2 linked regions of the Coturnix japonica genome follow. The protein of the gene in region 2 purifies or fractionates together with the protein of the main gene of each other region. This does not show direct contact. Links are inferred from orthologs where the notes say so. Each region holds a gene or a part of one and is shown on either strand. Other genes may lie near its edges.

The links. Proteins that work in one complex are often made in the same cells at the same time.
Region 1: the proteins of MAP3K7 (region 2) and PPP6C purify together in Homo sapiens (affinity purification with western blotting; 3 studies listed by BioGRID and IntAct, with this or other methods). This does not show direct contact. The link is inferred for Coturnix japonica from reciprocal best matches to the Homo sapiens genes MAP3K7 and PPP6C.

The regions. Positions count from the first base shown.
Region 1 is NC_029532.1:8,073,712-8,077,458, forward strand, and holds the start of PPP6C (serine/threonine-protein phosphatase 6 catalytic subunit), read right to left. Parts: upstream 2,238-3,747; 5' UTR 2,178-2,237; coding exon 2,103-2,177; intron 1,893-2,102; coding exon 1,797-1,892; intron 1,711-1,796; coding exon 1,645-1,710; intron 1,339-1,644; coding exon 1,197-1,338; intron 318-1,196; coding exon 238-317; intron 97-237; coding exon 1-96. Other genes in the region: RABEPK (rab9 effector protein with kelch motifs), read left to right, coding at 2,343-2,401, 2,477-2,622, 2,722-2,874, 2,995-3,156, 3,518-3,667.
Region 2 is NC_029518.1:68,414,157-68,417,803, reverse strand, and holds part of MAP3K7 (mitogen-activated protein kinase kinase kinase 7), read right to left. Parts: intron 1,107-3,647; coding exon 978-1,106; intron 1-977. UniProt on the Homo sapiens protein: Serine/threonine kinase which acts as an essential component of the MAP kinase signal transduction pathway. Plays an important role in the cascades of cellular responses evoked by changes in the environment.

The DNA of each region.
Region 1 (3,747 bases), on a different chromosome or scaffold from region 2:
AATTTCTTGATTACGTTCAATGGTGCGAATCTGATCGAGTGTCTTGATGTCCGGAGACAATCCACCGTGCACACAGAGAATCTGCTCATCTATTAGCTGGAGAGAAAAAGGAACACAAAGAATGCTCAGTATTTCAACCAAACCAAGAACCTCTCCAGCACCACCCTCACCACCACCAATTCTTCAAGTTATATTTAGACAATCTACCTGTATCTTTTTTAAGGTGTTTACACTTACAGCTGCTATTGTGAGCATGTCAAAGACTTTGGTGCAGTATCTCCAAGCATTAGCATTTCCGTATTTGGTTTGGCACTCATCTGTTAAATAGAGAATTTTTTTCTTCTTAACAGACCAGAAGGAATTCAGGCAATATGATCAGAGTCAAACAGAACAGAACCTAAAAAGGCAGATGTAAACCAAAAAGCAAACAGACAAATAAAAAACAGCTGGGAGCAACCGGTGAGCACTGGCTGGAAAGCACTGCTCACTGCTTCTGTGGTCCACCAGCAGGGAGAGAACCTCAGTATCTACTGCTGTGTCTTCAGCAACAGACAGAGGAAAAAGCAACACGACAGACAGCACCTCAGCATCTTCCCACCACTGACTGCCTGGGAACAGCCCCCCTGCTCACCCAGCAGTGTTTATACTCTACATTTCATGCAAGAGAAGTGAGGCAGAAACAGTGAACCCATCAGGGCTAATTAGAGACCTTTTCACTACAAATAAGTGTTACAGTAGCTTTGTTTGTAGCTATACAAACACATCAATAAAACTGATGGACAAATTTTACTTTGGAGCTTCACGAGGCTTACAAATGTTTATATATGCTCTTGTTGACACACTATATCATGTTATCCAGAAGAAAGCAAATTACAGCCTATATATGACAATGCTTTTCTCAGTTATACCTAAAGAGAATTATGTAGAATCTTTTATTTAAAGATACCAAAGCATATCATCAAAAAATGCAAAGAAAAACTGAGATGCTGGAGGAAAAGATGGTCTGGAGATGGACTAAAACGCTTTTACTTCTTGAACACAACAGTGTTAAATAACATTTGAGACCGTTTCCCACCCAGTTCAAGTAAAGCCCCACTTAACAGTGCACACACAAAGCCGATTTCAAAAGGGAAATAGGAGGTAGTTGTTGATGGCATGCTGGCCCCCATTCAGAAATCACTTGGGTAAAGTCTTACCATAGAATCCATACACTTGTGTTATCTGCCTGCTTTCATGATTGCCTCGTAACAGCGTGATACGATCGGGCCATTTAGCTTTTAGTGCCAGAAGGTAAGTGAAAGTCTCAAGACTATAGTAACCTCTATCTACAAAATCGCCCTGCAAAGTCAAAACAGAATTATGAATGAAGAAACAGCAAAAAGGAGAAATGCAAAGTGACACATCCACCTTTAACTCCTCATTGCACAAAGGAACCTGACGCTGAAGGGAGCCAAGCGGTGAGAACGAGCTCAGCTCCCCAGCAATGGTTCACTCACCCCTGCACGGGACGCCCGGCTCTGCCCGCCCTGCAGCCGGGGGCAGCACAGGGGTGGGAGGGCAGAGCGCTGCCACCAGGGCCGGCACCCAGCGCAGAACCGGGACCAACACGGCGCGAGGAGCAAAGCGGCACCGGCACGTACATACCATGAAGATGTAGTTGGTGTCGGGCACCTGCCCGCCGGTCCGGAACAGCTCGCACAGGTCATAGAACTGCGGGAAGGGGCACGAGTCAGCGCGGGCGGCGGCACCGGGCACCGCGGGGCGTCCCGGCCGAGCAGCGCGGCGTGTCCCGTTACCTGCCCGTGGATGTCCCCGCACACGGTGACGGGCGTGGAGACGGGCTGCACGTTGGACTCCTCCAGCAGCAGGTCGCACACGTAGTCACACAGGCGCTGCGGGAACACGGCGGGTAGCGCCACCAGCAGCGCCGGGGTGTGCACCAGCACCACCAACAGCACCGGACAGTATCGCTATCGCTATCGCTATCGCCATCGCCATCGCTATCACTATCGCTATCACTATCGCTATCGCCATCGCTACTACAACCACCGGCACCGTCCACCGCCGCCCGTCCGACCCCGCCCCCCCCCGCCCGGTCCCACCTTGAGGTCGTTCTCGGGCAGGTACTTGCAGAGCCGAGCGATCTCCACGTACTTGTCCAGGTCCAGCGGCGCCATCTTGGGACGGCAGCTCGGAGCCGGAAACGGAGCTCTCCACTTCCGGGAAGCGGCGCGAGACTCGGACGCCAGCGGAACTTCCGCGAACTTCCGGCCGCGCACCGGAAGTTGGCGGCGGCCGGAGCCGTGTGGGGCGGGCGGAGCTCGGCCCGGCCCGGTCCCGCCATGGGGCCGCTGCTGCCGCCGCTGCTGGAGCCGGGCAGCCGCCCGCGGGCGGGCAAGTGGTGAGCGGGGGGCGGGGCGGCGCGGTCCCGGCCGGCTCTCGGCCTCGGCTGAGCGCCGCCCGTCGCTTCCCGCAGGTACCGGCTGGCCCCGCGCGGTGAATGGCCCCGCGGGCGCGTGGGTCACGGCTGCGTGCTGGTACCGGGCGGGTCGGGCCGCGTGCTGCTCCTGGGCGGCGCCGACCCCGCGGGCGCTTTCGCGGACGCGCACTTCGTGGAGCTGGGTGAGGGTCGGGTCGGACCGGGCGGAGCCGCTGCCGTTCCCCGTTAACAGCCCCCGCTGCCGCCGCCGTTCCCCGCTAACGGCCCCGCCCCGCCCGCAGACACACACCGCTGGGCCCCGGCTGCCTGGAGCGGGCTGCGGCCGCGCTACGAGCACGCCACGTTCCTGCCCGCCCGCCTTCCGACGCGACTCTGGGTGTTCGGCGGCGCGCACCCGGCCGGGAACCGGAGCTGCGTCCAAGTGCTGGACCCCGGTGAGTGCCGGCACCTCGTCGGATGCCGGACCTCGGTGGAGCGGGTGTCGGGCCGGGCCGGCGGTGCGGAGCGGCCCTTCAGACCTCGTGTATGCTTTATTAATTGAATGTCTTAATTAGAAATAGGAACCTGGGAGAGTCCCGAGGTGACGGGTGTTCCGCCACTGCCCAGGACATTCCACACCTCCTCAGCAGCTCTAGGGACCTGTCTGTACGTCTTCGGAGGTGGAGACAAAGGAGCGGAGCCGGTTAAAGACCAGCAGCTTCATGTCTTTGACACAGGTACCTGAGTGTGTCGTGAGCTGTACCGGCACTGGAAGTAACCGCCCGCTGTTCTGAAGTTCTGCCTCCCAGATCTCATCAGCCTTGGCTGCGAGTTTCAATGGAGGGCTGAAGGTTGCTGAGGGCTGAAGGTTGCTGCTGACATGTGCTCACCTCTGTATTGCAATGGGGAACTTGGGCCAAAGTGGCAGTATAATGATTTGGGACAGGAAATGCTGTGAGACTTCTCATGACCTGTTGGTATTATTCTGTCTGTTCCTATAGTCCTGCATACCCCAGGAGGGAACCCCAGCGAGACTCGGGGGCTGCTGGTTTGTAGAGCTGACAGTTTTCCTCATACACACACATTCCCATTTTTCAGATGCTTTGACATGGACCCAGCCTGGCACCCACGGTGACCCCCCTTCTCCTCGGCACGGACATGTCATAGTTGCAGTTGGGACCAAGCTCTTCATACATGGAGGTTTAGCTGGTGATATTTTTTATGATGATCTGTTCTGCATCGATACAAGTAAGTAGGGCCACAAGTACCTTAGAACAATGGCTGTGCTATGAAGTGTTTTGCTTTGGTTTTGTTTGTTTTTAATAATG
Region 2 (3,647 bases):
ATCATGTAGTCTGAAGGAGCTGACCCATACTTCATTTTCTCTTTTAAGCAAACAACTGACAATGTTCCTTTGTTTACACTACAAACAAGTTACAGGTAAATAAAAAAGAAAATATGACTACAATTCTCAGGCACAGTGCCAGCCATCATTGCTTGCTTGTTAATTAGATCATCCAAACAAGTTCATTCTTTCTTTGATGGTGTTTTTCACAAATGGCAGAAACTCTTTGCAGACATTCAGTGAGCTAGCTATACCCCTACCATTACTGCCCTCTTCTTACAACTCTGATTTGCCATGGTAACTGAAAGTACTCTGTTAAGAAAGCCATACTACCAGAATTAAGATTTTACAATCTACTATTTTGACTAATATTGTACCACTGCTTTGTCCATCTTAATTCAATAATTTCTCCTGTACATTATACTAAAGTGCTTGGGACATGGTTCTGTAAAATACCTAGTACAGTAAAGTGTTCCTGCTCCTTGACTGCAGGACCCTAGATAAAACAATTCAAACAGCAGAATAAAAGACACAACAACAGTTGAAAAACAAAGTGACATTTATAGTTCCCCAAGGACCTGCAGAATTTAACAGTTTTTACATTTTAAAATATAGGTTAATTACTTAATAAAGGATAAAGATAAAGGAGCTATCTTTTTTTTTTTTAAAGTACATGACTCAGACCACTGTCCAATCTTTTAAAATGGGGAGTTGTAATAAATGTACTGCTTTTCTCCACGGTGTATTTGTACAGTGGTTACATGCGGCAGGAAATGCAAACAATGCAGCAGCCAAATAACACAAAAACCACACTAACATAGAAGTGTTAGTGTCTTAATATTTAATCTTTATGACAGAAGTCCTTATTAAATATAGAATTGAAAAACTAATAATTTAAAAATGCATGCTTCACAATGTTTAGCAAATTTATAGGTGAAATATACAACTTGAAATGCAGTCAAACATTTTCAACTCACCATTGTGAACTGCCCACATTATGCGGAAAGCTGGACCACCAATCTCATCAAAAGGTTTCCTGCGGGTGATTACCTCCCAGAGAATAATACCCCAACTGAAAACGTCACATTTTTCACTGTAATTGCTACCTGGAAGAAATCAGAAATATACTCTGTTTCTTTTTCACGTAACTTTTCTATAACTCATTTTTAATAGGTACAGTTCCATGTGAAAAATAGCTCTATATACTTCCTTTTACCTCATATTTGCTTTCCTAAGAAAATAAGGTTTTCTAAAGCTGTTTGATTTAAGCTAACTTAAGTCTGAAATAATTTGACAGTATGTTCATTAGGAATGCCTCTCTCTGGAAATCAGCTCATTTCACTTGGAATAATCCCGAAATGATAAATGAAGTCAGTTTGGTTTTATAACACCAAATGCAATTTATTACATTTCAATGATCTTTTGAATTCAGAACTGAACCTTGCTTCATCTAAATATTCTTGTTGAGCTTGCTTCTTCCACATTAATCATAATATGTTAGTCATCTTTGCCATAGCCTCTGCTTTCAATTAATTAGAGGTCTTTAGCAGAATCATAAAGTTACCACGTAAAACATTAGCAGATTCTCCAATTCACCATCTTGTTTCTTCTCTGTTTACCTTTCTTAATGTTTTTGTCATGCCACTATTTAAATCAAGTTCCCTGATCACAGGCTAAATATTTATAAGTCTAAGTTACAGGTGCAGAAGACATACAGGCAATATAACAACATTCAGAAACTAAAAGAGGAAAACTGTATGTTTTGTTGCCCTAACTCATGCAAATACTGAAAGAAATGTGAATGATTAATAACATGATAATGACAGCATATTTATAAATAACATGGATTTTTAAAATTAATATGTAATAAGAAAGTATTATTGAGACAAAGCATTTCATAAGTAGGAATTAGTGAAGCAGTATTTCCTAAGACCAGTTCTTGCAGATTGGACTATGAAAGTCAAACTGAATAAACAGGATGCAGCCATGTACTCTCTAAGCAAGGGCAATCATTTGAACTTCTCTCATCTATTGATATTACAAAACTCATAAGAACTTGATAACTCTGAAACCCCTTATACTTGTATCACAGTAGCTGAACGTGGCTAATGATTAAAAAAAATTCTGAAGGGTAATAACAAAGTCAGCTTTCTCTTCAAAAGGTAGCTGTTAATGATGACACATTATAAGGGAAGTAAAACAATCTCTGAGTCTATGCGGTGACAGCACTTCTAGCTACACATTCACTCCATCTTAGGCACTCCACTTTTAAACTGATTCTTCCCAATGATGGCAAGATAGGAGCCCAGCAAGAGCTTTAATGCTGCTGTGTTGAGCAAAGCACTAAATAACTGCATCCCTCCCCCTTTTGTCAAAACTCCTGCACGGTAAGAAGAAAGTGACAACCTTTACGCCTTTTGTCTCTGACAGGTCTGAAGAAGTCCCTTTTCAGTGGACAAAGCTGACTAGAAATGATACTTGGTACCAATAGAGGAGTGAAGACCCCGTGGTACACAGTGGCCGACAGACAGCCCATGATAGGAAAGTAATGCTGTACTCCTGTTTAAGCAAGGAAATTCTAGTTAGTTTGAAGCTGAAAACTAACTCTGAAAAGTGATAGTTCGAAACCAGTACCTAGCATAAGGGGGAATGTCCTATTGTTTCCTTATATAACAGGCCTAGGAGGGATAGCAGATGCATCACTTTTCAATATCCAATTATCTCAAAGCATTTTAAAAATAATTTTGACAAAGAGAGCTCAGAGCTTATAGTACTTTTTTTCTCTTTCACTTTATTCTATCTAAATTATAATATTTTCATTTAGACTGTATGATCTGTTACAAGAGTCTAAATGCCTTAATACTTAAAACTCAGAGGAAGTCATAATATTAGGAAAATTACATCCGTAATCACTTTTTAAGTATGTCACCTACAAGAGATAGTTCTTAAGCCTTTTTAGTTCTTGACTAAAACTTAGTAATAAAGCAGTATCAAAAAAATATTACTGCTTATCCCACTGTTAATTTCTGATGCAGTAGTACACGCAAAAAAAGTTTAACATTTTTGACATAATTTTAATACTCCTTTAGTACATTAATACTTAATTGACTGTCCCAAGAGTAATTTGATATGCTGCACCACAGAATTTACTGGATCCCTTGATCTTTCCTTCACACTGATTCTCACATAAAAGACTTGTGGCATCATCACTAAAAGCTTTCAGGAAAAGGTACGTAAAGCCAACTGCAAACTGAAAGCTTTTGCTGCCACCTAACAATAGATTTGCAATACAATATTTCTTTGTTCTGCCCTGATGAATTTATGTAGCAGAGAAATTAAGCTAAGCACTGTAAATCCCCACCATGGCGCTGCTCTTATTTAAAAATCAGCTTTTATTTTTTTCACTCAAAAGCAAAAATTTTGTTTTAACGCTGATAGGGCAATTGATAACCTCTAAAGGAAAAAGATATTCACACAATTTCATTTAACAGTAAATGTTAAGAAAGTAAGCACTCCTAGCTAAAGTTAAAGAAACAAAGTAGGTGCTCCAATATAAAGTGACATAATGGAAAATTTTTAGGCACCAGGGTAAAGCAGAATCATCCTTAGGTGATTCCCCAAGGTGACAAGTAGAAAAATGAGGCACC